Lepisosteus oculatus: one gene and its partners. The protein of the gene in region 1 interacts with the protein of each later gene in a pairwise test. Links are inferred from orthologs where the notes say so. Each region holds a gene or a part of one and is shown in the gene's direction. Other genes may lie near its edges. The genes, in order: leucine zipper putative tumor suppressor 2 homolog, hoxb9a, nek6 and suv39h1b.

Region 1 (7,756 bases):
TTCAAGAAACACCCTGGGATTTTTAATGACCACAGAGAGTCAGGACCTCGGTTTTACATCTCATCCGAAGGACGGCGCCTGTTTACAGTATAGTGTCCCCATCTGGCCCCCCTAGCACCTCTTCCAGCAGCAACCTTAGTTTTTCCCAGGAGGTCTCCCATCCAGGTACTGACCAGGCTCACACCTGCTTAGCTTCAGTGGGCTGCTAGTTGTGAGTTGCAGGGTGATATGGCTGCTGGCAGTAACTTTTCCGTAACAGAGTGCGCTGGTCATCTCCACAATCTGTGTGCTGGAGGAAAGCAGATGTGGTCCATATCTCTCCTGTGCTGGTACAGCCATAGAAGTCACCTGGACTGTAAAACTGGTGATTTTTTATTGTTTGTGTGTAAAATGTTAAAATAATTTATGTTGATTCCAAAATTAAGAAAGAAAAACTCCTGGGGACCCAAAACCGGGCTCTCAAAGGAACAGCACTGGGTGAGAATTATAGTTATTACCTCTGGCTGTGCAGCCTAGGCTTTACAGCTCTGGTGTGAATTGTGCACAACGGCTCATATGCAAATTCAATTTTCCAACTGTGTGTTATTAATATTAGCAATAATAAAATCACACTTGAAAAACAAGCTCTCAAATGAAGCGTGAAAATTGCTCTAAAGGGGGCAATGTTTCAGGACGTGAAATGTATGACATTCAGAATGAGGGTCATGGAGAGTTCAGCTGCGAAGGGGTTTAAGATTTAGACTGGTGTGGAGCTCAACACACTCAGCTGCTTCATAGGTGGTGTTAAAGGAGACATTACACCTGTGTAACTTTTTGAAACTGAAGTGTGGTTTAACATAACACAGAAAGTTGCGTGCTTTGTCTTAGCTTCTAACAAGGCTTGTTTGTCATTTCTAAGTTTTTCCCAAACTGTATAGACCACCAAAAGCGTTATCTACACATAACAGCAATCTGAAAATAAACAGCCTTTACATGAAGCCAGCTTTTTGTTTCAACAACTGGTCTCACAGTGCTGAATGAGGCGGAACGCAGTGTGTGGTTTGTGTGAAATCTGGGACAAGGGTTCTCACGAACATTCTGCAGAGGGAAATGTATTTGTTCTAGAAAAACTATCTGGAGTCACAAGGTGATATTCCAAACACTGCACCTCTCGGTCACCCTAAGAAATCAAGTTTGTTATTCCTCTTATTTAATTGCCAAGCACCCATCTCCATTTGCCCTGCTGAAGATATCACATAATAATGGACGTTTAAATAAAATCAGCCTGCCCTTCTGTTTATAGCAATGCTGAATAATGGCGAGACACCTATTCCCATCGGGAGTTTAACGATCGAAGACTGGCATGATCTTCATTATGCAGATCTTTTTCTTGTACATGAAGCTTCTAAAATTCTCTATAATGGATTTTAGACTCTCCAATTATTTTTGTTTTATGAGATTTAATTGCATTAAATGACCTAGACATGCCAGGAGATAGTTAATGACCAATCAGTCAGGATCTAAGTTTAATCTCTTCCAGAACACAGCATTCTCTTCATCACAGTGCTCATGGTCATCTTACATTGGTTTGCATACCCTGGTCCAGAAGGCATAGCACCACCTACTGGTCCACCTACTGGTCCACTAACACAGCTTATTATGGCAACCTAGTGCACCTGACTCTCCCAGCACTAACCAGGCACAGCCTTTCTGAAGTTCTGACATCTGGCGCAATCAGTATAGACCAAAGGCAGCCAACTTTGGCACCTGGCTTCCAAGTCATTCCAGGACTTTGAAGCTTTCAATACATCTAGTGCTGAAATGATTCTCAATTGCTTAATGACCCAGGTGCCGCCAATCAGTTTGAAAATAATAATAATAATAATAATAATAATAATAATAATAATAATAATAATAATAATTGCTTACACTAATATAGCGCTTTTCTGGACACTCCACTCAAAGCGCTTTACAGGTAATGGGGACTCCCCTCCACCACCACCAATGTGCAGCCCCACCTGGATGATGTGACGGCAGCCATAGTGCGCCACAACGCTCACCACACATCAGCTATCAGTGGGGAGGAGAACAGAGTCATGAAGCCAATTCATAGAGGTGGATAACTAGGAGGCATGATTGGTAAGGGCCAATGGGAAATTTGGCCAGGACGCCAGGGTTACACCCCTACTCTTTTCGAGAAACACCCTGGGATTTTTAAAAATGACCACAGAGAGTCAGGATCTCGGTTTTACGTCTCATCCGAAGGACAGCGCCTGTTTAAAATGATGGAATAGCTGGAGCACAGACCTACAGTGGCATGCAATCCAGATGCCAAGGTTGACTGCCACTGGGCTAGATGGCACTGATGCCACCGTCAGCCTGCTTTATCTGCCTAATCAAGGGCGACAACCCCTACACCAGCATGGGGCAAATAAGCAGAGACGGGCTCCTTCACCCAGCCCTTTGTGCACTGCCACGTGGGGAATTCTGCCCACAGCTGGGTAGTAACATGACCCGCCTTCGAACCCAGAGAGTCTTGGTGGTTGAAAATGTTATTGGTAAATGACAATAAAACCATGCCGAGGTGCTAAGACTCCCTGCTGCTGTCAATGTAGACTCACAACATCAGAAACCCTCAGGCCAGACGAATAGGCTCTCTGTCAATATAATTTGTTTGTCTCAGGGGTGTGAGAAAGCTGCTCTTCACTTTCCAATGCCAGACCAATCCCCAGGTCTCAGTCCTACCAAGAACTGGCAGCTCAAGTGGTTCAAAGCTCATCATCGCCCAAAGGGATTGGGCTGCAAATACTTACAAAATAAAGTAATGTAATGTGGTTCAAGTATGGAAATGCATGCTACATCCTGTTCAAACCGTCCTTTATATTTTCTGATACTAAACAGGAGCTGCAAATTCCATTAGAAATTCTTTAGAACCTGTAATAGATTGAAAGGTCACCTACAGTCTGAATAATGAATAACCCGGTAGTTACCAATCCTATTAAAGATTAATCATGATTAGTAACAAAACACTTGTCTTTATGTGCAAATGTGTTAGTGATTGACAACCGAGTGTTTATGTCTTGTTTGTTACATGTTTATAAGGTGTCATTTACAAGCCACAAAGCCACAGTGTAAGTAAAAATGCTATGTAGCAGGGTTCCTAATGTTTTTGGCTGATGAGTATAGCAGTTCAAACACTGAGATATTACCACTATGATGTTTTACAGATCATCAGGAGTGGAACTTGTTTTCATGAACAGATATATGACAGTTTGAAGTAAAATGACTTTATTAGCGTCAGCACAGAGGTGTGGTGGTTAGGACTGCTATTCCAACTTTGATTCTTGTTGAGGTACCTTCTATGTGGAGTCTGCATGCTGTCAACATGAGGTTTCTGTGAGTACTTTGGTGAGTTAGGTAGGTTAATGGGTATCTCTAAATTCAGGTGTATCCTTTCCGATTGACATCTACAGTTAATAATACAATGTCCTGTTGTATAATAATAATAATAACAACAACTTTATTAACCCTTTACAATTTCTTGCATTAGGAATTATCTTTTGGCATACCCCAGCTTGCTCTCCATGAGACACAGAGAGAGAGAGAGCCTGGGGTCAGAGCGCAGGGAGGGGAAGGGGTTGGGGTTAAGGGCCTTGCTCAGGAGCCCAACAGGGTAGGATTCCTCTGCCAGCTGCAGGATTTGAACCAGCAACCTTTTGGTCACAGGGGCAGATCCTTAGCCACAGAGCCACTGTATTGATTATTGATTAACTTTATTGATTGTTCCTTTATTTCTTCTTGTGCTTTGTTTCCTGAGCCACAATAGTGTGAGCTTCTTGGCCATGTCATTACTATAAAAGAGTATAAAAGAGTACTTATTCTAAATTATCTGGATAAAGATGATGTTTAATACCACTATTGCTAATAGTTTTCCTCTAATGCTTTAATATACTATAAAAAACAAAATAACATTTATTGAACCGCAATCTTACCCTAAAATACTGGATACCAAAACTTACGTGTTTCCCGATTCTTATTTTCAATAAAATAGCTTTCTCAAAGAGAAACTCGATTTTAGGATAACTGGGATAAGCCGTTTATTATCTACAAAACGTTACTCGTGGGAACAGACCATTCTTAAATGCTTGGTTTATATGCTTTTCTGTGTGTAATCACCCGGAATCGACAGTATGAGCTCGGGTGGGAAAAAAAATGGCTAATTTAAGCATTTCAGCGAAGAATGGGATGAGACTGAAAATACTTTTGCCAAAGTAAACGTGATCTCTCGGGTTTTTCATTCAGATTCATACAGGTACTGTATGAATCTGAATGTACTAAGATGAACAGACGATGTTCAATGCGAGCATTATTTTGTAGTGGGAACAATTTACAGTGTAACAGCTGGCTTCTTCAGGACGCTGAGGTCGGCAGTCCGCACCCCCCTGCGGCCCCCCTCCCCCTGCCCGAGCCCCGGTGTGAGGGAGAGCAGGCCGGCTGTCTCTCCAGCCAGCGGCGGTGCGCAGACCGGTGGGGGCTGGGTCCTGCCGGGAGACGAGCGAAGGCGCTCGTGTTTGCCCGTCAGCTCCACAGGGAAGTGCAGGGCGATGGGAAGTCTGGTGCTGTGAGAGTCTTCGCTCGGACCGCCGCGAGGCTGTTCTGAAACTTGCTGGCAGACCCACAAATTCCGTCACAATAAAACTCAACACCGCGGATTTCGCATGCCTGGGAACTGAACTCTTCCCCTCTCTCTCTACGCTCTTTGCAAAAGTACGGTCTTGGATCTTCGGATGAAGACTTGCGTGTACTAGTTGGTAAGTTTACGGAACCAGTTTGCTTGTTGTTATTTATTTTGATGTAGCTAAATCATTTGATTACAGCTCGGGATTGCCGGTGTACCATACCTGCACTGTTGTCAGGTCTACTTGGAGGCAGAAACTTCGAACTAAACGCTGTTTATCATCACGTTTACTTAAAAGCACCACACCACACAATAACGCATAAGTATATATAGAAACTCTTCAGCGATTTTGCTATTTGCTGTAGTGTTGTTTTCTGAGCAGTGAAAGCACGAACAAAACAACCGGTTTTAGTTTTACAACATCGTGTGAGACTCCAGGCTTCGCAACAGATCGGAACAGCACCGGCGATCGCAATTGCATGTATTGAAATGTGTTATAAGGCTCTTACTAAGGGGCAGATTAAAAATATTGTTGAGGAACTCTCCACACTTTGAAGTGCGTAATTATGTGCTGTCGAGTTCTCGCGTCGGGATGGAAGGAGCCCTTTGATGGTGCGATCAATATCGCAGTACGATGTCTTTATCTTGGGGTTTCGGTGCCGCGGTATGGCTCGGCCGGTATTTTAAAATCCAAATGAAGACAGTGGCGGTGTTTTTGATCAGAGTGAAGTGGGTTGGGTCGCGAGTCGACACCGGCAGAGCGCCGGAGTCAGCGGGGAACCGGCTGGTCACCGTGCGGCAGAGCGGCGCTCTCCGTGGGTGTCACGGTGCGCGCTTAACATCCCCCGGTAATGTTTAGCCCCCTCCTTCCGCAACTGAGCTTGTAACGATCGGGAGAAGGAATGTGCAATTAAAATCTTTCATTTGGGATTACTCCCCTAGATGCTTTTAGTAGAGGCTTGAGTAATAGAAAGTTAGGGACTAAAATTAACGTGTTGTATGCAGCTTGCCTATTTCATTGGGTTCCTAATATTGTAAAGACAAAACTACAGCTTACCATGCACATTCATTATGACTGTTCCATTAAAATCCGAGATAACGTTCAGTGTTCAGGTCGCGGTTTTGCGCTTTGAGATCAAGCGCAGTTTAAAATCCGCCCTGTGGTTTCTTCTGCAGTGCCGTCAAATGGCGGTAGAGGGCGATGTCCTGGATCTGTGAGGGGCAGTGAGAATGATTTGTGCCTACTCCGCGTCGTGCAGAAAATCCCTCTGACCTTGAGCCCGGGTGGGACTGTCTTCACTCGCTCTACTGAACAGTTAGGAAATCCACACTGGAAGTCATACAGAGCCCCACCATATTAAAATAAATATCCCCAAACTCGAGCTGTTTTTTTTTGCCCTACATATTTCTGCACCTGTGGTACATCTGCTCCAGCTTTGGGCTCGAGCGTCTGAGTCAGGCCTTATTAAGAACAATGCTTGCTAACAGTGTGGTACTTTTCAAGCTGGGTGCAGGGTTGTCAACTCTCTAACAATGTGGAACAGAATGTTATGACAATGACTTTGAGGTACAAACCTTTACCACAGTAAGGACAGGTTACTAAAATACAAGAAAGAAGACTTTGCTACATTCCACCATCCTTGCCTCTGTGACCTCACACGCAGAAGGGTTAAAGGAACTCAGTCTCTTTAGTTTTGTTTATTATAGGTGTGGACAGAACCGACCCAGATGACTTCTTCAAGCTAAACAGTGACCCAAATGTAGAAGGCCCTTGTTCTAAACACACAGTCTGCCGGACAGAACAAGCTGTCTGCTTTGTTGTTCAAGTTGACTGCTGGCAGCCTTCAGGCAGTAGCTGGACGATGACCTACAGTGCTAAAGCTCACCGGGGTGCCCCTGTGTAGCCCTTCTGCTGGCTTTGTGAGATGGCCTGGCTGCTGAGTGTGTGAAACAGTGGCATGACAGCAGAAGCCCTTGAGTTGCTGGGACGCCTTCAGCCCTGAGACTCCTGGGAGGGCTCTTCACCTCCAGTGCTGAACAGAGCGAACCCTGTGATCACAGACTGGCCAAGGTGTCACTTGGAAAAGGAAAATGTAGGTGTTGTTTGGTGCCTATCGGACAAGGACACAAGAAGCCGGTATCATATTTTATTTATAGCCTTTTTTTTGCAATAGATTAATGAGGCAGTGTAAAGTATTGCCTTAAAGGGGAATGCTCTGTGGTACCAGAGCCCTTGACGGCAGCAAGCTCTTCCCATCTGACTGATTCCACCTGTCAGCTCAGGTTTATCTCTGGCCCACTTAGCATTTAGAGAGGCTGGCCTTTATAAAACCCGAATCTTCAGTCTCCCTACCACAAGCCTCTTATCAGTGGGTTTCAGATGCTGGTTTCATTTAGGGCTGAGCAAAGGGCTGTTATCCTGCAGCTGTGCTACAAAGACAGAGAATAAGTATTCTGTTTCATCCCCTACCTGATCCTGCACGGCACCAAAGGGTATTGTGTCAGGCTGGACAGTGAAATACAAGTTGTTAAAGAACAGTGGGATTCTTGAACATTGCAGGAAATCCTTGGAAAATGACAGCTTAATTCCAAGACTTGGAAACCTAATGAGGAAGGGTGGAATGGAGGAACAAATAAGTTTTGGGTGACAATGTGTTAACAGAATCATGGAGTTGTGGTGCTGTCTGTTGAAAAAGACGTATATTGTTATGATTTATTGAACTGATGACTTTAGGAAGGCATGATCTACCATCTGCATTGTAAAGGCCAGCAGTTTAGTTGCTGTGGTCTTGTGCAGGACTGACGTCCCATAGGCACAGTATAGTGTGCACAGTGACAGTGGAGCAGCAGGGCAGAGTGCGCGGGGAAGCGGGTGATTGCTGGGTGAGCAGAGAGGAGTTCTGAAGGATGTTATTAGAGAACTGCAGTGCGGCACAGCGGACGTGGCAGTGGAAGGCTGCGAGTTCTAATCCCAGGCGGGCTGCTGCTGTGTCCTTGAGCAAAGCGCTTCACTCACATTCACTTGTTGTAAATTGTTAAGTAAGGGCAGTGTGTTGATCGTCTGGGCTGATGACCAGGCTGTACGGTGATGGTGAAAAG
Region 2 (8,208 bases), on another chromosome or scaffold:
TAATCAATTAAACATGGATGTCCGCCTCGGCGACTATGCTTGTTGAAGAGAAGCAGCACCGCATGGGAGGAGTCGGGACGGACAGCTGGCTCTCTGATTGGCCCCCGCACAGGAAGTAGCCCTGAAACGCTTTTCTATTTGAAACGCCAATTGACAGGGACCCCCTTCGCCTTCGCCAAAATATGCCCTAGCAATGTCATGCTCTGAAAGATCCCCTTGCAACGCTTTTTCTGTTAACTCTTTAATAAGCGGCGGTCACGGGGAGTCTCCCTGCGCCATCTATCAGCTCGACGGTTCCGCCCAGGATCCCTGGGCTTCGGTGTCAAGTCCGGACAAAGTCGGGAAAATGAATCCGCACCACCGCCAGCCGTCGCAGCCGACAGTGGGTTTCCCCTCGCACCAGTTTCACCCGGGGCTGGCGCACTGGGGAGAGCACCCGAGCCCCGAGCGAGCCCAGCAGGTGAGCGCTTGTCCCTACGGCGCGTCCATTGGAAAGGACGATTCCTCCTACTTCTTCCTCGAAACGGCCAAGCACCCTAAACCGCTGCCAGATGTTTCCGCCTTCACCAGACTCGTGTCGGAGATGGGCTCGATGAGCAGCGCTGCCGGGCCCATCCAGGGTTACTTCCGTCCGGAGCAGTCCTACACGGGGCTGAAACTCCTCGATTACAGCGCCCCGGACCTGCCTCCGGGCGCCCACCCCTCCTCGTCCCACTCGGACTCTCAGCAGCTGTATGACCTGGGCTTTCCCGAGCAGCACTGCACGGAATCGGACAAGAAGACCCCGAGCGGTGATGTGACACCTGGCAGCCCCCTCTGTCCGCCACAGAAGGGCAGCAGCCACGGCATCATCGTCATCAACCACAACCACCACAACAACAACAACTGCAAGGCAGACGTAGCTCCGGGACTGCTACAGGACAAACCCCTCTCGGAATTTCCTGCAGGCGATAAAACTCCTGGACAGGACGCGCAAGGTGGGTAGATACAGTAGAAACGAGATGAAACGGCGTCGTTGATGATAACGACAGGAAAACAGGGTTCCCTCTCGGCTGAGAGGGAAAAAAGGTGATTTTCTAAAGGCTGTAAAGGAAGGGGCGCCAGAACAACAAAAAAAGGACGCCTGCTTACAAAATTAATTTATTGCACCGAAGCCCCAGCGCCAGACTGAATTGCACTATTTACTGTGCTCTTTATAACATCAAAAACAACGGAAGGCTTCTTTTGTGAACTGGGAGAGTATAGCAGGCTATAGGTGAGCAATTAGCCCAGATCTATAGAGAAAGCCATATCCCCTTAAATGAAAACTAACAGCATGCGGGGAGCGTTTTTTTTTTTACCAGATCTGCTCGATCTACAGGATGAATTAAATCCTCTAGAGTAAACCCAATCCCAAACGTTCATTTTACGGCCGTGTGCATTCTATAAAATAAAAAAAACGTTTTCGTATTGCAGTGCAAAATCTCCTACAACAAATTATAAATGATTTGATTTTCCGGGGGGGTTTGGTGCAAGAATTTAATCAGCGCGAGCCCCCCGTGCACACACTGGATTCCGGCTTAACTTGAAATCTTTGGAGCAGACGTAACCACTCAGTAACCATCTTTTAAAAGCCACCCAGTAGGTTAAAACTGTTGCCTTTGCACCGTGTCTGTAACAGGGAGTTTTGTCGTTAAGGGGCAACAGTACGACAACGGCGCTATGGCTCTGTTCGACGTCAAAGCTCGGCTTTTCGGAGAGCCAACGGCAGACAAAAAAATATCAACAGACACCAAAATCTTTCCTCAGGATTGAAATTTTGCGCTTTTTTATTTTTAGTTTGAGAAGAAAAAACCAAACATTTCGAGTACAAGTCATATTAACAAAACTAATAGTAAAAAAATAATACAATAAAGTAGAAATAACCCATTATAAATCTAGAACACCGTGAGAAAACCTATAATATATTAATATATAATAATACTCTATTATTTTTCCCCCCAATAATACAAATTTGAAGAAATCCAGTAGTAACAAACAAAGGTATTCATGTGATAAACCCAATGTAATACACACAATAGTGTCTTTGAAATTGAACATCTCGTTTGTCTTCATAGTCATTTATTTTATCATAATTTTGTATATGCCCACATTGCTCCTGTACATTAAAATAATTGTCTGCTAGCTGCCCAGATAAAGATAATGCGTCAGATGATAAATTCAAATTGTAAAATGTATCGCATGTAGTTTTCAGAATTTTTCACTGATTCAAATTGCAAGTTATGGATTAGGCCTACTAATGTATTTCGTTTAACGTCGAAATTTAGTATCAGGTCGAACACTAGTATCCTCGTTTCTGGAGGAAAACGGGAACTTGCATAATTGTAGATTTATTTTGTTAGCAAAAAGCATTTTTTCACACAGCGGAGAAGAGATTGCGGAAACTCGTCAGATGAAAGATTCCGGCACTCCTGGAAGAAAATCGTGCAGCGGATGCCACAAATATTATTCAATTAATCTCAAATCCTCAATCCTAAAAATCGTCCACGTATTCGCGGTTTAATCGTTAGATGGCCCTCTGAAAAGAACTAGATACATCACTTTTATGATTGAATTCACAAACACACTTTCTCCCCCGCTCTCACACTGTACTGTACATCCTTTGGGAACTGTTCATTTTAAACGAGGAAACTAACGAGAATTTATCGTGCTAGGACAGTAACTGTCACCTGGACGATCAGGTGCAAAACATTTGTTTTATGTTTTGCATTTTTTTTTCGTTTATTTTCGCTGGGATGGCTTTACATTGCAGTAGCGGGGCAGTACAACAACAGGAATCTTCATCAGCCATCAGGAGACCCAGGGTCACCAGTGGTGTGCTTTTGAATGTCTGCTGTATGCCGGTATTTCGATCCTTGAATCGTATAGTTGCTTTTCAGTGACGGCTTACTTAATGTAAAGGGTCAAACGTTGAAGGTGTTGTCTATGTGCGTACACTCTATATAGGACGCGCAACAGAGAAAACATTTTTTTAATTAAAAAGTGAATAAAAAAGTCTTATTTCTCACTTGGCAGAAGACTCAAAGGCTGAAAGTGCCGCTACCGGCTGGCTGACCGCGAAAGCCGGAAGGAAAAAGCGCTGCCCGTACACCAAACACCAGACCCTGGAGCTGGAGAAGGAGTTCCTCTTCAACATGTACCTGACCCGAGAGCGCCGCCTAGAGATCAGCCGCAGCGTCAACCTCACTGACCGCCAGGTCAAGATCTGGTTCCAGAACCGGCGGATGAAACTGAAAAAAATGACCCGAGACCACAGGGCTCGAGACGTGACTGCACACTTCTCCCTGTGACGCACCGGGGGGGTTTCGGGGTCTCGGGGACAGTCAGATCCGGGACGCATCTCCTCCCAGACTCTGAAGCGGCGCCGCAGGCCTGGAGAGACCGGACTAGAGACCATCCAGAGACTCAGAAGACCAGACACTTGCATGGAGACACGTTTTCTTATTATCTTAAAGTTCTACGTTCCAGAGGTCACTAAACACGGCCTCCAGTATAACTTAACCTTGGACCACGGAAGCACCTTATAGTTTATTTAAACGGTCTTATAAATGGTGAAAATGTGATGTAAATGTGTTTCGTTTCATTAGTTTACTCCTTCGATTTCTCCTCTTCCCCTCTTTGGCCTCCGCATAAACGATGCGACTGGTTGTGCAGGTCTTCTTCCTCTCTCCTGTTTACAGGAAATGTGTGTAGGGAATTTACAACCAAAGACGTTTTCTTTTATATAAAAAAGCTGCATTGCGGTTTGATGTTGTATTTCTTTATGTTGTTTACCCTGTCTTTGCATATTTAGGAAAAGCATCTTAATTTCCCCCCGGGACGCTAAGTTAAAGAGTGTTACAAATACAAGCACACAACGGACTTGACTACAATTTTTTTTTTTGCAACGAAACCTGTTTTTGGTTTGGAGCTGCTCGGACTAACAGTTTTCTTGCTCTAAGCAAGCTGTCCCTAACGGGTTTCGCGTCAACACGAACTTTTAATGTTTAAAAAAAAAAGAAAGCATGAATGTATTTTAATGTTTATGGTTATTTCGTATATTCTGTACAAAAAAAAGTTTTTAAAATGAAAAGGAGCTCGCAGTTTTGATTCTGTATATGGGTGGTTATTTTCATTCGTTTAATTGTGTTCTGTGGTTGACTAATATAGAGACTGCTCCCATAACGGCAGGCGTGTGAAATGTCTTGTTTTCTTCCTCAACGAAAAATATCTCGTACTGGAGTCGTCTTTTCGCCTCTGTGAAGTCCCTTCTGTTTCTCAAGAGGTTGGAATTAGGAAATTGCGATTTCTGCTTTAGCGCTGGGCGAATCGCTGCTTTATACTGCTGTATCTGGCGCTTCGAGAGTCTTGAGTCCGCGTTGAAAATTGTCCAGAAATGAAAACTCATGTGCAGAGCAGGATGTTAAAAATGGGAACCAGAGGCAACACAAATAGCTTGTTTAGTATTAAACTGTCCCGGCCGTTGTGTTCGTTATATGCGATTGTATTTATATGCGTCTTCTTTGTGTGTTTCCAGAAGATGATCGCGTAATTTTATCCTCTGGAGTTTTTTTTTTAAAGGGTAGCTGTAAATGTTTCTTCGAGGTGAATTAGTTTGCGAGTGGGGGGGGGTATACGAGTTAGGAACAAGAGAGTTGAGCAGAAACCTAAGAAATAATAAACGAGAATACAACGGAATAAAATACAATGACGTGTACTTATTTTAAAAGCTGTAAAACCAAAGACATGTGCGTCGGTTTATTGTACTTCTGCAAAATAAAGTGTTTGTTAAAAATGTAGTGCGGAGGCGCTGCTAAGTGAGTGTTTGTCCAGCCCCTTGTTTTTATAGCTCGAATTCGACGAGCAGCCTTAACCCCGTGATGCGCAATTTAAATTGTTCGAAGTTCAAAAGCAAGGGTAAAGTTTATTGAATTTCCTCCGACGTGCGTTTATATAGCCTTACCGTCGCACTAAGACGACTCTTGCGCGGAGACGAGGCAAGACGCTGAATTCAAGGGAGGTGTGGAGCCTGTCCGGCGCCAGGCGATGGATAATTCAGTTGGGTTCTGTATTATCTATGTATCTCCGTGTGTGTGTGTGTGTGTTTGCCGAGAATAACGAATTTAAATCATTTGAAGGGTAGAGAAGAGAAAGCATTTTTTCAGGTGAATCACCCCAGGGAAGTTGAATTATCGTCTGAAGGCCTCGGGTTTATGTTTAAAGATATTTCGTTCTCTTCTGCTTTCTTGGACTCTTTCGTCTGTGTGTTTAACTGTGGGCCGTTCAAACCACCAGCCTATCCTTTTGGCGAACTCCAGGCCTCTTGAATGTATTTTGCAAAATTTCTATATTTGGTTGGTAAACGTTAGCATCGGCGAAAACGAATTCTGTGCCCTTTCGTTTTTAATGTCAGACTAGGTTTGTATTTTACGCTGGGTTATAAGTGTTAACTGGCTATCTGGGCTCGCACGCCTGTGATTGACAGCTGTTCGCCTTTTGTTTGGATGAGCAATAATGGAATAGCTGTGCGCGCCCGCCATGTTGAAAACGCACCATTTTAAGACAGGATGAGAGTCTCAGACTGAAGAATCTGAATTGAGAGAAACAGACTCTTTAGCTGTGGGAGGGATGACTCGGTATAATTAGGTTTATTTTCCTTGGAGAAATTATCTCGCTATTTCTACCGTCGCCCTGTAACGTTGCCTCCTATAATTTAACGACTACACTATAGTTCAGTCCCTGGGCATAATTGCAGTGAATCGAAGAACCGTAGCTCTTGCCAGATTTCGCATTCTGTACCAATGTGACTAAGAACAAAATGTGAGAGTCCAGTCTGAGCCGTGTTTACCATCTTACAAATTACATTATATACAGAGAGGCGGCTTAATTCAGAAGGATTTGACTGCGCTTCAAAGTATCTTAGCAACCGTTTCTCTCCGGATGACGCCTCAGGGTGCATGTGACGTCACTTTCCCAGCTAGCCCAATGGCCTTTTCCGAGAGTCTGATTTTATGCTAATCTTCGCCTTTGAACCCGAGGAGAGCCGAACTGCTGTGTGATTTAGGTAGTTTCATGTTGTTGGGCTGCAAGTTTATAATCACAGGAACCTGAAACTGCCTGAATTACTCCAGTTATTTAACGCCGAACCTTCTGAGAAAAAAAAAACCCACGATAACGGTATTGGAGAACAAGAATCTTGCCATCTAGAAATTTATTGATTTTGTAAGGAAAAACCCTTCTTCGGGTGTGACGGCTTTTAAATGAAAACCGACAAAATGATTTGTGAATACTGTAAAAAGTGGAGCCGGTGTCCACAGGTTCGTGTGTCACTTTCCCAAATTTTTTCAGACTTTAAAACTCTGAAAGCTACGTCCTGTAACATACAGCCTCTCGCCTTGTATCTGCAGCCAGCGCTATTCTCAAAATTAACTGGCCTGCATTTACGCTTTTGGGTTTATCAATCCTGCTATAATTTTCAACAAAAACTTTATTTTTTTTGTAACTAGTTATGAGATGCCTGGGGACTTTACGACAGATTCCCTTTGCCTTCAGCCTGAGGGGAAAAAAAAACTCTCTCTCGGCTTGTGGATACTCTAAAAAAATAAAACCGTGATTTTCTTGTTCAGAACAGGACAATCCGCTTTCAGTTGAATTATTCACATGCGTTTTGAAAGGTACGCAGGCTGGTACAATACAGACGCGATGGGAAACATATATTGCTTTAAAGAATGGTTATGGTTTCATGGTGTAATAATGGAATAATTCAATTCAGGAAAAGAACAACACAGCAGCATTCCGAAAATGTCCATATTTATTTACTTGGGGAAAAAATACAATTTTTCGTTTAATGAGAGCCTTACATGTACAGGACAAAAATGTAGACAAAAAAAAGGGCCACTGAGTTTAAATATCTTCGGATCCGATTCAGAAAAGACACAATGTTTTCCGTGCCTCATTTTTGTGCTGGAATTAACCCTGCGTTAATGAAATATATTATATATATATATTATATTATATAGAACAATATATAAAATAACATATAATATATAGAATAATTTATATATAACAATATATAATATAATGTATTGCGTCTTACCCTAGTTTTACTTCTTACACATCAGGATTCGCGGAATTTTATGAACGATATGGCACTGTGTCGATTTTCAGCGCTGTGCCGATTTTTAGTGCCTCGCTGAGGTGGTTTCTTCTGCGAGATTCTCCCAACAGACGAGCGACAACACAAGAATATTTGTGTGCAGCGCTCCACCCCGCTTTCCCAGCCGGTACAAAGGAAGCGTGAACTATTCAAAATACGAAGCAACATTATTGTTAAAATAATTAGTTTTTCGTGTTTTCTGGGTGTGATATTACCCCTTATTGCTGAGAAACGCTTATAATTGTTATTATTTCGGTGCTGCGTTTGTCATATGGAAATGAAACTCATGTTTAAATGGTGGGGCACGACAGTTATACTGTTATATATTCCCAGGGTCTACAAATCTGCAGTAAGGCGTATTCGCACATAATAATAGCAACTCTATTTATTAAATATCTTAATGATATTCCTGCGTTTTCGAAGTTTGGAGCGTCTGGAATTATTTTTATTATTACTACTACAAGATGTTGTGTGTCGCTGCTAATTGTTTTTCATGTTCTTACAAATTTAAAGAATACGAATTCAGGGACTGTTTTTCAGAAGAATTCGCCGCTGTCACGTTGGTGTTTCAGTAGCAGGCTCAAATCCTAACTCGCTTAAATAACACCGAAAAAGTTTAAAGGCTTTACTCCACCCAAGTCAGACAATGTGCAATATGAATAGCGATGGTTCTTCTCAATAAACATACCTTTTTAATAATCGTTATCAAAACCACATGCTTGAGTACACGCGTCTAGATCTAGATATCAGGAGAGTATAGATATTCCAGCATACATATGTCGTACCGAATTGTCTTAAGACTGTAATTCGCGTGATACTTTAATTTGTAAAATCGAACAGCCCATCACAAACCACAGCTCTGGTCTGATCCCTCGGGTATCGATCTGGAAGGTGGAGCTTTGATTTTTTTTTATTTATAGTCAGAAATATTAAGGGGAAATTCTGGGAAATAGATTTGGTGGGGAGGGGAGATAAAACACGGGCCATGTGATATTTTTTTAAATTAAAGCAAGTAGCATTTTTGTGTCAGATGA
Region 3 (7,859 bases), on another chromosome or scaffold:
CTCACACACTAAAAAACAGTCTAGGCTTTGCTTTGGGTCCTGGCTGGACTCCTATAGAATGCTTCTGGGATGACCCAGACTGGAAAGTCAGTAAGAGAACTCAGATCAACTAGAGTGAATGTATTCAACATGGATTAAAAGTAACTCCTACATGAGTTGTCTCTGGCCCAGAATGTTTCAAGATACCACTGAATTTAGACAAATTTTATATTTTTCTTTCATTTTTTTATAACTTTTAAAATATGTTCAGGTATATTCAGTCATTTTGTTTTAATGATATAGTCTTACGCATTTATACTGTTTTCCATTTTGGTTACCACAGTTTAAAAATTGAATTTGTGGATGTGTTTGAACCCTTTAAAGCTAATACCATAATGAGAGCTCAGAACGAGAAAATGAGGCTAAACATGGTGAAGCTAAGTAGTTCATCTTGCTTTGTGTTTTCATTACTTCAAGAATTAAAAAGTGTGTTTCTATTGCATTCAGTCAGTTGTAAAGCAAGGTGTACATGTTGGTACTATAAGAAACCATAACATCAGTAAGATATAACTATGGTATCAATGTAAAAAAAACATCAAGGTAAGCTCATTAGAGTAATCTTTCTTGTCATTTACTTGACAAGAATATGTCTAGAACATATATGTTTATATTAGTATTCAGCTTGAAAGACCCAGTATCACAAAAAGAGGAATATTCCCAGACAACTGTCACCCTGCTTAAACATGTTACAATCCAAAAGTAAAACAAAACAAAACAAAACAATTAAGTCAGTTGTAGTAACTGTCATAGAGTTTAAATTGCAAACATACAAATGTTTTAATCATTTTTCATCTGGTGTGGAAAATCCTTTGAACCAAAATAATTCATAAAATAAGAGCAGCAGACAATGCTCCTGTAAAAGAGGAAATTATTGATATTGGTCCTTAAAAGCACATCTAGAAAAGTCAGAGCAGTTAATCCTTTTTACCTTGATAGGTGTGTGTGTTAATGCCTGTTCTGTGATAACCCTTGACCTTTAGTTTGCATACTGTGGTTTCCACACCACTTCTGAGATACAGGGAGAGTCAGCAGAATACATTAATGATTCACTTAAGACAAGTCTTTAGTTTCTAGCTGCCTGATAAGATTATAGCCACAAGCTAGGAGTCAAGGTTATTTGTTATAATTCAATGCTACTTTAACAATAGCCTGGGAATGGACTTCCCAGAGGTACAGTGTATGGGCTGGATTTATAAAGGCTTGAGGTGCTTTAGTACCTCATTGGAAGGGAATGGATTTAGTATCATTATGTGAAATAATAAGAAGGTGTCAAATATTTGAATATTATAAGTATCCTTTGTTGTTTATTTGTAGTGTTCCAAAAGCAGGAAAGTGTTAAATAGTGATTTCATCCTGATATTTTTTTTTATTTACACAGGAAGGAAACGCGGAAAATCCAAAGAAAGTTTTCCAAATATCAGGCCTGGTTTCCCAGACGTGGTGAGTCAAATTGAATTCGTCGATTATTTTATTTTTTTTACAGTATATTGTTTGTGAATTGTTTTAGGTCCAATCAAAACTTTTGAAAAAGACGCCTCAGATAATCACCGTGTGGTCACATTATCACAAGGACAGAAGGCCTGCTGGTAACAGAAGAGGTTCTGTTCAGGTCTTACTCAGAATAATGTGAAAGGTATTCATGCATTCTCCAGTAGCATTCACAAAATGTTTTTAACAAGTTCAGTGTTAGCATTCTTTTATGTACTGCATTCAAATATTAACAGTCCTTTTGCTACTGTAGTGTTGTGAAAACTTGTATAACTGTCCATCGAAGTATTATTTTCTCCCTTTTGTTCTCCTTTAAAAGATCTTTAATAGCTTTTTTCAAAGTTCTTTCTGTTTGCTATTTTATTTTCTCCAACATGCACATGCAAGTACAAGTGCATTACTAATCTGGATCATAAACTGAGGCCCAAGCCTCTCTTTTAAGTCATTTCTTGATTTGTTTAAGGTGGAGGCCTATAGTGTTGTGACGGCATTACACGTAGCTGTAAAGAAACCCGAATTGTGTGTGTGCAGGACACCAAAGTCCCCAAGCGTACTTTCACTGTTTGTCATACCTTGTATGGTGGAAACAATGCTGTCGTCACAGTGCTTTTTCTTGGAAACCCTTTTGATAATGGCCTGTTAATTATATGGGTCTGTGTCTGCTGTTGTTTGCTTTGAACCTGTATTTGTACAGGTTGTACAAATCCTGCACAACACTGTTGATTTTGTCTGTACTTGGAGTTCTTTCCCACACATGTGTATTGTAAGCGCATCTGTGTACTTAGACGTGAAAAGAAAGCTAAATATATTCTTGTAAGTCTTACATCTTGATATGACACATCATGTTCTGATGTTTTTAAACAGAAATTCATGGCTTTCTGATCATGCCACGAGAGCATCTTAACCTCAGAAAGTCTTGAACGGACTATTTTGTAACTGGGTAGTTAGATAATTAGATAATGGGTTTTCAGAATTAAACTTCTGTAAAACTGAAACAGGGACTCAGTCTGCTGTGCATAAAATCTGAAATCTGTTGGAATGGGGAGTTTACTGAGATACGGAAAGCCTGTTGTATAACAAATCCTACGGCAGAATTATATAACGCATAAAGTTTTCTAAACAACATTTTGGAGGCTATTTTATAGACAAAAACACTAGGGCATTCGTAATGAAACACAAAAAACAAGAGCTGTGCAATAGAGGAAGCCAAGTCTATATTTATCTTTTAACTTGTAATTTAGCAATTTGAGTTTCAAAAGCTAAACTTCTGTCCAACTAAGTGGCTAAGTATGCTTGCATCCAAAGTAATCTTGCTTAGGGTAAACATTTTGCAATCATTACTAACTAAATAAATCCCACTGTTTTTATTAAAGAGTACGACTTTCTTCAGTGTTGAGTGCAGTTATTTGTGTAGCTTCAATTAGCCTTATTCTTTTGCATCTCTTGTAATTGGCTTAACAATACATGCTCAACATATTCCAGATTTCCAAACTCAGTCAGCTCCCACTTTCTTCTGTGATTCAAACTAACCTTAGTTGTGGTAGAAAAAAAAATCTGATACAGTTCCAAGCGGCTTGACCCCGTTCAAATCGGTTTTATTTCATGCCTTTCTGAATCTGAAAATGAAAAGGCTGTCATCATTACTCCCTGGATGCTTTTTTACTTATTTCATGACATCACTTGTCAATGTTTTCTTTCCAAGCCTTATGATTTAAAAGATTATTTGGTTTCAAGGCACAGTAACGAGCTATTGAACTCTTTAAAGACATATTAAAGATTGCTAAGTTAAAGGTGGAAGGCGAAAATGTAACTACAATGCCCTACAAATCTGTGAAGTTTGTGATAGTTCAAACCTGAACACTTCTAAGGGTGAGCTCAATTACAATAAATGACAGAATAAAAATAAAGAGAAAAAAAATGAATGTGGTGATTTAATAAGCACTCAGATCTGTGAGCTCAATAATGGTGGAAGCATCAGTGGTAGCAACTACAGCCACATGTCTTTTAGGTAAAACTTTGTACACTGGATTGGTGCAACATTTGCCCATTCATCTCAGCAGGTTTGCTCTCGCTTGGTGGTCAGTTATGGACAGCAGTTCCACAGTTTCTCAATAGGACTCCAATCAGGTCTTTGTGTTACTCAAAGACATTCGCTTTCTTGTTTGTAAGCAACTCCAGTGTTGCATTGGCCTTGTGCTTTGGATCATTGTCCTGGTGAAAAGTGAAGTTTTGTCCCAGGTTTAAGTCTGAAGCAAGTTTTCCCCTAACATTTGCCAGTACTTTGCTCCATCTATGTTCCCATCAGTCTTGACAGTCTTCCCAGTTCCTGCTGATGAAAAGCAGAAATTTAACATAAGACTGACACAACCATGCTTGACAGCAGAGATAAGGCTGAGTGTAAGATGCACTTATTTACAATAAAATTGTATAAATAAATAAAATTAGGTTAGCAGAGGATTGGAATACTTTTTTAATCATTATTTCTCCATTTTCCTTTCGTATTATCTGTTTACTTCTATTTACTCTTTGCTTTTTGCTTTGAATGTGTGGAGTACTTTCTCTGCACAAAAATATTAATTGCCACTTTAACGTGTCATGACTGCAAGCTTTAATGCAGACTGTGAGACTGGAGCAAAGGTCGGAATACGTTTGCAAGGCGCTATACAGTTGTTTATTAACCTTAATAGATTAATTTGATCATTACATTCATGAATTAACAGATGATTTGAATTTTAGCACAAGATACAATTTGAAGTTGCTTAGTTTCTTTATGAATTGTGATTAAACAGTAAAGGGACATCATTAAAATGGGTTTATGTGACTGCACTTTTATTATTATTAAAGCACAACTATTAAATACAGATTGATTATAATCCTGGGCCTGTGCAATAAGTACTGTATAGTTTGCCTAGTACCTTATTACAAATGGTTCAGTGAGTGGAGTTGACATCTTAGAATCTTAGTTAGAGCTGTTTTCTAATTGTGTGTGGATAAAGTGGTGTGAATATGCACAATGGAAGAAAAAAAAACTCCTGATTTGTCAGTACCAAGGCCCGGCCTGTTGGCACTCTGTTGTGTTGATCTGAGAGAGTGTAACACAGGCTGTCCTGGAAAAAAAAAGGAGAAAAAAAAGCTGGCAGGGGAGGAAACAGGAAGTGAAGCTTGTCATTGAAGGTTTCAGAGGGTGATTAGAAGCTGCAGCTGGGCTATCTGGTGACACCTTACCAGGGAGTCGAGACTTGCAGACAGCATCTCTGCGGTGTCAAGCACACAGAGGAAACATGTAAGTAGCCAAACCAAAAGAGGTTTGTTTGAAGATACTTCTTCCCCTTTTCTGCTTGCTCCTCTGACACAGTTGCATCATAAGGGATTTTTTTTTGTGTGTGTGTGGTGGAAAACCTTTTTGTACATGAAGAGCGCTACACCTGCAGTACTGTGCATTAGCAGAGTTCGGATGCACTGTATCAGCTGTAAGATTTTGACTTAAGACTTCTGAATCCGCAAGAGCATCACACCTGACGAGAAACCATCAAGCCACAGAATAAACATTTCTGTACTCACACGACAGATGAGTTCTTACCGATTTTGTAATAGTAAGCTGTTGTTTCTACACTACGTAGCATTAATAAAAACTATGGTTATTTACTTTAATGAAGAACTTTTTTGCGAGCAGCACTCAACTAGGATTATGAAATTATTAAATGAAATCCGATGTGTCAAGTGCCATTTCTGGGTTGGGCGACCTGTGCTGCTTTTTTACTGTAGAAAGATTCTACAGGTGTGCAAGCTCAAAGGTGTTTTTTTTTAAGAGGTGCTTCACCTCACATTGGACAGGTCTAATGCAGGATTTACGTGCCTTGTTTCCAATGTGTCTATGCGAGGCCTTGTCATTTTACTCTGCCATTCTTTTAACTTTTCCTGTGGAGGCTGGCGTTAATGAGGACAGTAGCTCTTGCTGTCTGACCCAATTCGCTGAAGACTATTGATTATTTCAGCATTCCTGTCTTCAAACGCATAAAAGATGTAGGGCTAGCGTACTAAGCCAGATATGGGAATGATCTCAATAGAGTAAGGGCTATGGTATAAAAGTTACATAAATTATTATTGAGGAACAGGCGCATCATGCTTCTATGAAATTGTCAATTTCGAAAATAAAATTTATATATACTTCTAAATGCGTGATGTGTTTCAATGCCTGAAATACATTTTAAAGGAAGGAATATTTTAATATCGTAACCTGTCAGGTAGAAAACAGGTAGCAGTGCAGATTGCATTTGGTATAATATAATGGGTACATTAATATTATTTTTGGATGTTCTAATGTAATGTATGTACAGTTACAGTTAGGATGTGTCCACTAGTTTATGAGCCAAACCCTGATTCATACTGGAGACAGTACTAATTTACATTTGGCCACTCATGTCCATATTTTCACAACAAAACTAAAAACGGGCAAGTATTTAAAATTATTGAAAGTGAATAAAATGTTTTTCACGGAAAATACGCACATTAATGTACGTCTGCATTTCAGAGTTTCTGCAAGTAATGGGGTAAGAAATATTTACTCAAGCCTGGCTGCAGTACCGTTTATAAAAATTGGCAATTCATCTGTGTGAGTTTTCAAAGTGAGAATGTGGGTTGCTATTATGAACTGGGGATTACATCATGTGTATTTAAAATGAAATATTTCTAGTATCTTGATTTAAGGAGTTCACTTCTGTCATTAAATATAAAATAGTGGCAAGCTCTGATCTTGTATAACTGTTATCTTGTAAAACCGTGCTGCGGTTTGTAATGGATTTCCAAATGCATAGATGTGAAACTAAAAATAGTTTGAAAAGTAATCTTGTAACAAAGCAGGGATAGCAGTGTGTGGCTCGGGGATTTATGTATACTTTTAGGAGTTATTTTCAGCTGTAATGAGTCAAGCGTAGCTCGTCTCAGTCCCTGGATTTAGCACCAGTCTATTGTGGGGCGATTTTCAACCACAAAGTCACACTTAACCCTCTTACTTCTATTTGCATCATTTCGAAGCAAGCTTAGGTGGCATTTCCTGTACCAGATGTAAAGCTTCTTCTAAGAATTTGTGCATTTTAGCTTTGATGGTGAGTGCTATAATTAAGAAGAAAAGTTTCCAGTTCATTAAAAGACGTGTTTTCTGCAAGGCAATAAAAAGACAGAAGCAGAGCAGCCCACATATTTAGTTCCTTATAATGCGAGGCAAAAAAAGAACCTGTTAATTTCTTAGTGTAATTATTTTTTTTTCTTCTTGTCGGTTTCTTTGTTCATATTTAGAGCGGTTGTCCGTTATCATTTTGCAGGTGGTAGTTTGATTGATTATGTTAATTTGTGCACTCCGGCTGTCTGGCTGAAAGGTGAAACTGGGCCATGAGACTGGGCCATGTCAGCAGCTGACTGCAGCTGGGATCCCCTGAGTGGAAGGGCACAGTGCTACACAGGCTAGGGTGGGCTTATTCAGTCAGAGCCCCCTCAGCTCTCGGCATCACAACGCCCCCTGCTGTCTCCTGGGCTCTTGCAGTTTGGCGGTGCTGGTGGTGAGGGACGTCCAGTACCTCTCCTCCAATCAGTGCTGAACTTCCAGTACTAGACCGTGTTGCCTGTGAAGTGTGAAACAAAACTAGCATCTTGAAGGCAGGCAGGTTGGAGGAGTCAGCCCACGGTTCCCCGTTCTCCCCTTGGTGCAGCTTACAGGGTTTCAAACCGTGGGTCGAAAAAACCCCCGGCCATCTGCTTCAAAATTGGGAGGGCACAACAAAAATACTGGTCAATTCAGAACTGAATAAAAAAAAATGTAAAACAGTAAAAACTTTCAGGGTGAAGCCATTGATATGAACTGTACAGTAGGTATACTGATCAGTGTGTTGCAAGGGCAAAATCTCTCATTGTGCCTGGTTTGCAGCATGGCAGGTCATTTCAGTCTCATGGTGTGTAGGAACAGGAAGCAGAATTTGTTGTCTCTCGAATGTGTATTAGTTTTTCAGAAAATGTTTCATCCATTGATGAACGCGCTGAAATACTTGAAAGGTCTTGTGATTCAGAAGGGGATTCTCTCCCTCTTTAGTTGATTGCCTCAGTCCTCTCAGGAGGCAGGAGCACGAACGTTTTCACTTGAGCAGAAGCCAGGCATGATAGCAGAAGAGGGCCTATATACTACTTCTATTAATACTGCTCGTATGGTATGGCGGTGACTCATCTTGTGGGGCGGAAACACAGGGCATCTGAAATCTAACAAACAGGGATTTCATCCACTTACTGCAGCAGTATCTTTGCCTGCTACAGAAGATAAGACACATTTTGCTTAAAATGGTGGT
Region 4 (7,901 bases), on another chromosome or scaffold:
TTGGGTCCCCACCTACATGCAGAGAGCTGTGGAAATGTTTGGGATGGAAATCACTGCATGCATGTGAGGAATCATTATTATCGTATTCTACTTCAATGTGACCCCCCTGAATCAGCTTCTTATTTCACAGATCAATCATCGGTTGAGCATGCTCTGCACTAGTGGCACGAGAGGGAGAGCACCACCATGGTGCATATAATCTACTATTTAAGTTAACCAAATCTTCACAATCAGTGCCAAAACACCTACCTATCAACCTTCTTTTTGGAGGGGAGTGTCCTGCATCATAACCTGTAACTGGGGAACAAATTCAGAATTATTAGTAAGATATGCAGCAGTTTGACACCTTAAAATTCTCAAAGCAGTATTTACATGACTGAAGGATTAATCACAGAGGAAATAAATACGGGAGAGGAAAATAAGTCCTGCTGAGCATCATATTAATACGGAAACAACAGTGGGTTATACAAACACATTATAAGTCTGGAACTATATTAACATCTGTTTTCCCTCTGACTCGTGTATTCAAAAAGGCGTGAAGCCCGGAACAGCTACACCCCGCCGGTATTAAAACAGCAGCTTGATCTGGGGCTGTCTCTGCCTGCGGGAGGGAGCTGAGACCCCTTGTTCACAGCGAGAGCAGGGATCAGAGACAGGGGTGCTGACCTCGTGCTCTCAGTGTGCACTCACATGTGAAACCAGCAGAAAAGCTGCTTATGTTTCACCACTGTCAGGTTCCCGTTGATACCGACTCTTCTGAGTTAGTGATAGAAAGTCATTCAGCACTGAGCCTGATTGGCAAACCACAGCTCCAAAGAAACCCCTCTCTCTCATTCTCTCACAAGACTAGAGGAGGAAAGACACGCGGTTTTGAAGCTACTTTTTTGTTATTCATCAGTAGCTGTTAGTGACTCAATTTCCAGGAAATAGTGAGAGGAGGCAGCATTGGTGGTGTCTGATTTTGGAATTATTTTTCCATTTGTCCTAAAAAGGATTCGTTTCAAGTCTTTTAATTTAAAAAATATCCCCTTATTCCTTTTTCAGATAAACCTAAAATGACAATGTTGGCTCCTGATAATAATGAAAAAAACAGCAATGCTAATACTGGGTTCCTACTTGTGCAGGACATGTTGTGCTTTGAACAGCTGTTGCTCGGTTTAATCAATCTCTCAGTCAAAGTCCTTGTAGGACAGAGCCAGTGAGAAGGTTTCTCTCTGGCTGAGGAGCTGAAACAAGCCGGGCCAGCTGACCGCAGCAGGTTCGCAGGCCCCTCCTGTGAAGACCACCCTGACAGGGCTCACCCTTCTCCCATTCTGTCCGCAGGCTGTGTGCTGTGGAGGCGCAGTTGATGGACTTCAGGACATCCAGCGCCACCTCCACGGCCTGGGAGCTGAAACGCTCGGCCATGAGGTGAGCTGTGTCAGTGCGGTCAGCATTTTCCAGCTCCAACCAGGAGATCCTGTGCTCATCCTGCTTGCTGTAACGCAGCTCATGTCTGAAGCGCTTGAAGTCTTCTGTAGTGAGATCGGCGAGGTGGTGAGACAGGAGCTTAAACACAACCAGCCCTCTATCCAGCGTGAGAGAGTCCAGGCCTTCTGTTTAAAACATCAGACTCCTCTGCATCTGTCAAGCAAACACAGAGGGTCAAAATCCCGCCGCTGAAAAGTAATTAAAATAAAAGCAATTAAATTACTTCTTCTACAAGAATATGACAAATGTACTGCTACAAACTTTTCCACGGTGCTGCAGAAATACTGACAGAACATTGATTGTCTGTCACTTCACCCAATAAATGAAAATGATTTGTATTCCTGATATAAATGTTTCAAAAAAATAATGAAAAAAAAATAGAATACAAAATATAATTGCAGGAATATTTATACAGAAGAGATTGGCATTTCTGCTAGGATTTCTGTAGCAAAATGCAGTATGTAGCAAAAGAAAAATAATGTGTCAACACCTACATTTTATCTTGATGTTTCCTGTGAGGCGAATGTGTTGAAAGTAAATGACAATGTGAAACTTTTTCATGCATGTTAGATTTTCAATAATTCGTCCACTTTCTAATCTCTTCTTCCAATTCAGGGTTGAGGGGGAGCCAGAGTCTCTCCCAGCAATCCTATCCCACCAACGGCCACTGGGCTGGGTACATCCTGGACAGGATGCCAGTCCGTAGCAGAGCACTCACACCAGGGCCAGGTTTCCCAGAAGCCAATTAACCCACCCGTATGTCTCTGGGCTGTGGGAGGAAACCGGAGCACCTGGAGGAAACCCACAAGAACATGGGCTGGGGGAGAACATACAAACTCCACACCAACAGCAATGCAAGCCCAGAATTAAAATCAGGGCCACAGCACTGCAAGGCTGCAATGCTCACCACTGCACCACTGTGCTGCCCTAAAATCATCTATTGATCAAAATGATTACTCTCCTTTGGGGATATGACCACATTTTTACCCATTAACCATCACAGACACAAGAATTGTAGACAGACAAAACCGGCAATTGATTCCATTTTCTGAAAATGTAGAACCAAGCCTGTAGAAGAAAATGATTTAAAAAAAATCTGATACCCTGAGGCAAAAGAGGTCGCTGTGTTTCTTGGTAAAGCTTGTAAGTAGATCGGTCTCACCTCAGCTGTGCGCAGTGCTCCTGGTTGTTGTCTGTCTTCCTCGCGCCTGCGATGCTGTTTCTGACTGTTTCACACATCAGACACATCCAGCCTCAGCCTGGCCCCTGGCCCCTGGCCCCTGGCCGTGCCACCAGTCAGCCAGGCACACGCCATACCCCTCTGTCAGCAAGGGAACGAGGCTGCGAAAGGCTTCTACAGAGGTTAGAAAAACAAGCTACTTGGAATCCACCTGCAAAAGCAACTAAAAGAGGACAAAACAAGACTTCGCTTACCTTCTGCTGGGCTGAGCCAGCGATGGTGCGAATCGAAACTGTTTTGCTTTGGAGGTTCAGCACCAGTGCTTATCTCTGCCTAGTGCAGGAAGTGGTTGGCACGTGTAGCAGACTTTATGAAAGATTTCAAGAGGTCTCACTGAAGGCGACGATGCTCTTCTTGTGATCCACTTCCTGGGCCTCCGCCCGACTGATCCGCTGTCTGGAGGTGTCCGGACTCGTGTGACCCCGAGCAGGACTGCAGCTGCAGCAGTGGCCATCCTTCACATCCTTCCTATGGCATCCCACCTGGTAAAGCTGCAAAATGATGCATAAATACACTAAACCGAGGGGGTTTCTCGAAATGGGTAGGGCTGTTACCCCAGTGTCCTGGACAAATTCCCTCCTAGCCTTTCCCAATCATGGCCTCCTAATAAGCCCCATCTCCGAACTGGCTTCATCACTCTGCTCTCCTCCCCACTGAGAGCTGGGGTGAGGTGAGAGCACTGGTGCACTATGGCTGCCGTCACTATTAAAAACACTATTAAATTTCTCCTGGACTCGGAGAAATCGAGGTGGGGAGAGAGCACGAGGGAGCCGTGTTGTTCTGGACTGCCAGGACCGGAGACGATGCCTGAGAATCACCGAAGGAACTACACAGAGGACAGAACAGCTGGACTGCAGTGTCTGGGGACTTTTGTTGGGTGACTGAGGTGTAAATTGTGTGCTTGCCTCTGGTCTGCCTCCTCCCACCCCCATCACGCTATGGTTTTGTACAATGTGCTGTGAGAGTTGTTGTGATCACTAGGAAATGAAGTGCCTGTTGCTGGTCTGTGTGTATTCGCTGGGGATTCTGGGAGACGAGCAGGACTTGTGGCAGGAGAAGGGTCTTAGCACCCTTTAGAATTGTTAGGTGGCATAGTCGTCTACAAAGCAAAAGTAAATCCTATAGGAGTCACCCAATCCGTGACACGACTTTGAAACAACCCACATAAAACTGAAACAATCTCTTTGATTCCTATTAGGTATGTGTTTGGTAAACTGAGCGGGGTGACCAACGCTACGTGTATCTCACACACGTTTAAGGAAACCGAAACCTTTACTGCTTTCAGTGCTTTGCGGCCAACGCCAACACGAAACTCACACAGGAAATCGGCTCCGGACACACAGAGGTGTCACTGACGGTGCAGGACAGAAGTTTTATTAACGGTGAAAAGTGATGAGATATGTGAGCACACAGAATATGTGTCGAGCTGGAGGTATTGGTTTTCGCTCACATTAATCTTCCAATGATAAATGGCAAATGTAAGAGAATACCTAGTTAAGTAAAAAGCCATTATTTACGCTATGCGGTCTAACTGACAGACACCGTAGGGCATCCCAAATGGTTAAAAATAGAAACATTAGCGAGCCTTGTATGACAATTGATAAACACGACTCGGCGCAGCTCAGTAACATTCTTTCCATAAAACCGGAAGCGCGCTGCTGATTTGAAACCAACCACCAGACCCACAACTCAGCGCGATCCCCGTCCCTGGGCATGCGTGCCCCTGGCCAATCACGGCGCTCGCTCGCCGCCCTGTCCCCTCCCCCCGCCTGACGGCGATTGCTCGATGTGGACGCCACTCACGCCCGCGCCGGCCAATCGCTGGGGGCGGTGTGCTTAAATCCCTGACCGTTAACCCCGGCGCAGCGGCGATCTCCCGCCTCTGCGGGCCTGGCCAATAGGAGGGCGGCTCGCGAGGGCGCTCGGCGGCGTGACTGGTGAGCGAGCGCTGCCTGCGGTCTCAGTCAAAAGACGCGGCTCAGTCAAAAGACTCGCTTTCCAATCGCTCCGGTCCGCTATCGCTTTTGCCCCTCTCTGGACGTGCCTAGGGGGGGGAGTGGTGGCGCTCATTGGCTGCGCCGGGTGTCATTTGTGGAGCGCTGTAGCCAGTCGGAGAGCCGTCCGCCGTGTGCGCCCCCTGCCCCTGCCTAAGCAGGCAGATTTTTGGCGGCGGGGAAGAAGATGGCGGAAAATTTGAAAGGTAAGAAAGTTTTCGCGTCGCCCCCTGCGCGAAAAAGGCGGCGGATGCTCGCCGCCGCTCGGCGGGGGCTCTCCGGGCCGGGCCGTGTACCCGGCGGGTCCTGTCGGGAGGGGCGGCCGGGCGGCGCTGCGCTCGCTCTGGGGGGGGGCAGGGGGGATCCGTTTAAACCCCCGGCCGGAGGGGCGCGAGCCGGGGGACCCCGGGGCCCTTCCGGGAACCCCCCCACCCCCGGCAGCCTGCCGTGCGGGGTGCCCCCCCTCCCCGGGTCCCCCATCGCGGTGGGGGGAGCAGTCGGTTGCCCGGGCAGGAGCTCTGCAGATGGCCGTCTGCGGTCCGGAGACGGTCCCGGTGGCTCCGACGCGCGTCCTCGCCTCTCTCCCCGGGCTGTGGGACCACACGGGGGTGCGCGGCGCTCGGCCGGTCCGTGGCGCCTCCGACCGCAGCAGAGGGCTGTGTCGTGCGGCAGCTCTCGGGGCTCGGTGTCGCCCGTGAAGCCGCGGGCGCCGGTGGGGTCTGTTAGGAAACGTCTCCCCGCTCCTGGCGACAAGAGCCCCAGCTGACTGGCTGCAGCACAGGGGGCACACGTATCCCTCACCGTGCCCGGACCCCACCGCTGTCCGCCGCATAACAGAGCGGGATAAGGCAGCTGAGACCTTCGGTTGCTCTTGAGTCTAACAGCAGTTTCTGACATTCCTGAATAAAATATTCAGCGGGGTAAAGCACACCGCCACATTGCGTGGTAGAGTGTTCAGGTTCTCTCTCACTTTTTAAAATGGAAAAATAAGCTTGGTTGTCCGTGATCATCAGTGTTGCTAAGCATGAGATACTGGTGTGTGCGATTCGGCCCCGGTGCTTCCTTGGCGTCGGGTGCGGTGAGGCCAGTCGGTGACCGTGATGTGGGTGACGCAGGGGCGCAGGTCAGTGCTACTTATGCCTGGATTTGGCTTCTCTGTTGATGCTCAGGGCCGCCGTGTCTGCGCTGGCAATGAGAAAATAAGCGCAGTGGTTGATCGAAGGTGCTCGAGTCGTGCAGGCAGGAGAAATTATCTTCCCAGAGTTGTTGTGTGGCAGGGAAAGGCTCAGACTCGGCTCTCCTGATTTGAAGCCCTTGTTTTATCCCCCAGAATAAAAGCTCAGTGCTGTCTTGGTTGCTAGGGAAGGTTGCCTCGGCTGCAGACACAGTCCGAGTTTCAGGGGGCTTTAAGGAAGCTCTGACTAATCTTTCCGAGTATTTCTCACAACCTAAACTATAACTCTAGCGAGCAGATCACCCCTGTGTCTACAGTACCACACGGTGAGGAGTCTAAATTGTGTTTCTGATGAAGGTGAGTTTGCACCTACAGAGCATCACCGTCTGGAGTCCGGCAGCTGATTAGTCCCCGAGTGTTCCTTCCGCAGGTTTGTGGAAAATCGCTCTGCACTCGTTCAGACGTCCTGCCAGCTGTGAAGGGCACAGCGCAGAGGGCGGTGGTCTTGGGGCGCCCGGGGGAGGGCGTGACGAGCTGGAGGGGCGCGTGTGGTGCCCGGGGGCTGACCCGCTGTCCTTGCTCGTGCGCAGGGTGCCGCGTGGCGTGCAAGTCCTCGTGGAGCCAGCTGCAGACCCTGTGCCGGCTAGAGAGGGTGGCCTGCAAGGAGCTGGGCATCACCAAGAAGAACCTCAATGACTTCGAGGTGGAGTACCTGTGCGACTACAGGAAAACGAAGGTGAGTGCCCGCGCAGGGGGGTGGTGAGGCCTGGCTGGCGGTGGTCTGTCTCTGCCCTGGGCGCTGGCGGGTCGGGGTCATGACCCTCTCCAGCCCTTGCTGCGCTGGCACGGACGTGTGCACGGTCTCTCCCTCCTGCCTCCTGACACTGCCGTCCCAGCGGCCGGAGTTGGCTCTCGGCTGTCCGCTGCTCAGCCCTCAGAACCGCTCTGGGCTCGAGGCCCGGACGGGAGCAGCTGCACGCCTTTCTCTGAGGGTGGGGCCGTCGAGCAGACTGTCATTTATGTCTTAACAGCTGTCATTTGTTTTGGCTTTTTTTGTGCATTTTGTTTCCAAAGAATATTTGGTGTACTGTTCCCGCTCCACTCCAGATTTAACTGGGCAGCGGATTCCGGGCCCATGTGTCCCGGCAGCTGACAGGGAGCCAAACCCAGCCTCTGGAAGCAGAGCGGGAGCAGGGAATTGGGTGGGAGTGGGGGGGCTGTTTGCGCAGGCGCTGGTGATGGTGTCCAGTGGGGACAGCCTGTTAGATCCTTTAAACAGGAACAGCACTGTGGTCTCATTGGTGCCGTTTTATTTTTATTTTAGTCACCCAGGAACAGGACAGACATGCTCTCCCCGCAGTTTAATTTCTTGACGATGAGCTCGTTTATAAATTGTGAGCGGATGCACTGATCTGTGATTGCGACCGATTGGGGGGGGGAAACAAACCCCAATAAAATAAGGCGAACACTGTGAGGACCAGTTAATACTGCCTTCGTTTTTATGCCACGTCTACATGTTGGTAACAATGACACATCAAGTTTAATCCTTTGGCCTGTTTTCCACCACGTGTATGTTAAGATCCTGATGGACAACTTTGAAATGAGCAAAAAAAAAAAATTTTGACATGCCACCATCTGCCTGCTCTGAAGCACATTGAGAAATGCATTCAGAACTCGCTCAGAGCTCCAAGTATGTGCCCTTAGTGACAGTGGCCGATGTTATGTGCAGTGTGTGTTTGTAGGAACACGTGTGTAGTTTTTCCCTTAGTCGGGCCCTGTCTGGCTCTGGGGTCAGTTTCTGTCTTGCTTGTGTTGTGTGTGAGTGAGTGTTTAATAATAATAATGTTTTGTGAGGTTGCCATGTGGGTTGATTGATTGTGTTGCTTGTTGCGTGACCTGCCCTGAGCTGGAGAGTGACTGCTAATGTCCCAACAGCCCTGCCTTATTTAACCCAGTCACTGTCGCTCATCATTAGAGACGTCAGTCTGGAGGTTCACACCACAGGAGGGTGTAACCATAGTGA

What was found.
Region 2: the proteins of leucine zipper putative tumor suppressor 2 homolog (region 1) and hoxb9a interact in binary tests that used the Homo sapiens proteins (3 or more experiments, as listed by UniProt). The two-hybrid records come from large-scale screens. The link is inferred for Lepisosteus oculatus from reciprocal best matches to the Homo sapiens genes LZTS2 and HOXB9.
Region 3: the proteins of leucine zipper putative tumor suppressor 2 homolog (region 1) and nek6 interact in binary tests that used the Homo sapiens proteins (3 or more experiments, as listed by UniProt). The two-hybrid records come from large-scale screens. The link is inferred for Lepisosteus oculatus from reciprocal best matches to the Homo sapiens genes LZTS2 and NEK6.
Region 4: the proteins of leucine zipper putative tumor suppressor 2 homolog (region 1) and suv39h1b interact in binary tests that used the Homo sapiens proteins (3 or more experiments, as listed by UniProt). The two-hybrid records come from large-scale screens. The link is inferred for Lepisosteus oculatus from reciprocal best matches to the Homo sapiens genes LZTS2 and SUV39H1.

What each region holds. Positions count from the first base shown.
Region 1 is NC_090699.1:45,525,437-45,533,192, forward strand, and holds the start of leucine zipper putative tumor suppressor 2 homolog, read left to right. Parts: upstream 1-4,444; 5' UTR 4,445-4,790; intron 4,791-6,364; 5' UTR 6,365-6,750; intron 6,751-7,756. UniProt on the Homo sapiens protein: Negative regulator of katanin-mediated microtubule severing and release from the centrosome. Required for central spindle formation and the completion of cytokinesis.
Region 2 is NC_090723.1:9,345,663-9,353,870, reverse strand, and holds the start of hoxb9a (homeobox protein Hox-B9a), read left to right. Parts: upstream 1-4,963; 5' UTR 4,964-5,076; intron 5,077-8,208. Other genes in the region: hoxb10a (homeobox protein Hox-B10a), read left to right, coding at 194-977, 3,055-3,329. UniProt on the Homo sapiens protein: Sequence-specific transcription factor which is part of a developmental regulatory system that provides cells with specific positional identities on the anterior-posterior axis.
Region 3 is NC_090719.1:13,837,781-13,845,639, reverse strand, and holds the start of nek6 (serine/threonine-protein kinase Nek6), read left to right. Parts: upstream 1-4,712; 5' UTR 4,713-4,808; coding exon 4,809-4,810; intron 4,811-7,859. UniProt on the Homo sapiens protein: Protein kinase which plays an important role in mitotic cell cycle progression. Required for chromosome segregation at metaphase-anaphase transition, robust mitotic spindle formation and cytokinesis.
Region 4 is NC_090697.1:77,485,616-77,493,516, reverse strand, and holds the start of suv39h1b (histone-lysine N-methyltransferase SUV39H1), read left to right. Parts: upstream 1-4,577; 5' UTR 4,578-4,891; coding exon 4,892-4,910; intron 4,911-6,468; coding exon 6,469-6,614; intron 6,615-7,901. Other genes in the region: NACHT, LRR and PYD domains-containing protein 3-like, read right to left, coding at 250-297, 1,302-1,407. UniProt on the Homo sapiens protein: Histone methyltransferase that specifically trimethylates 'Lys-9' of histone H3 using monomethylated H3 'Lys-9' as substrate. Also weakly methylates histone H1 (in vitro).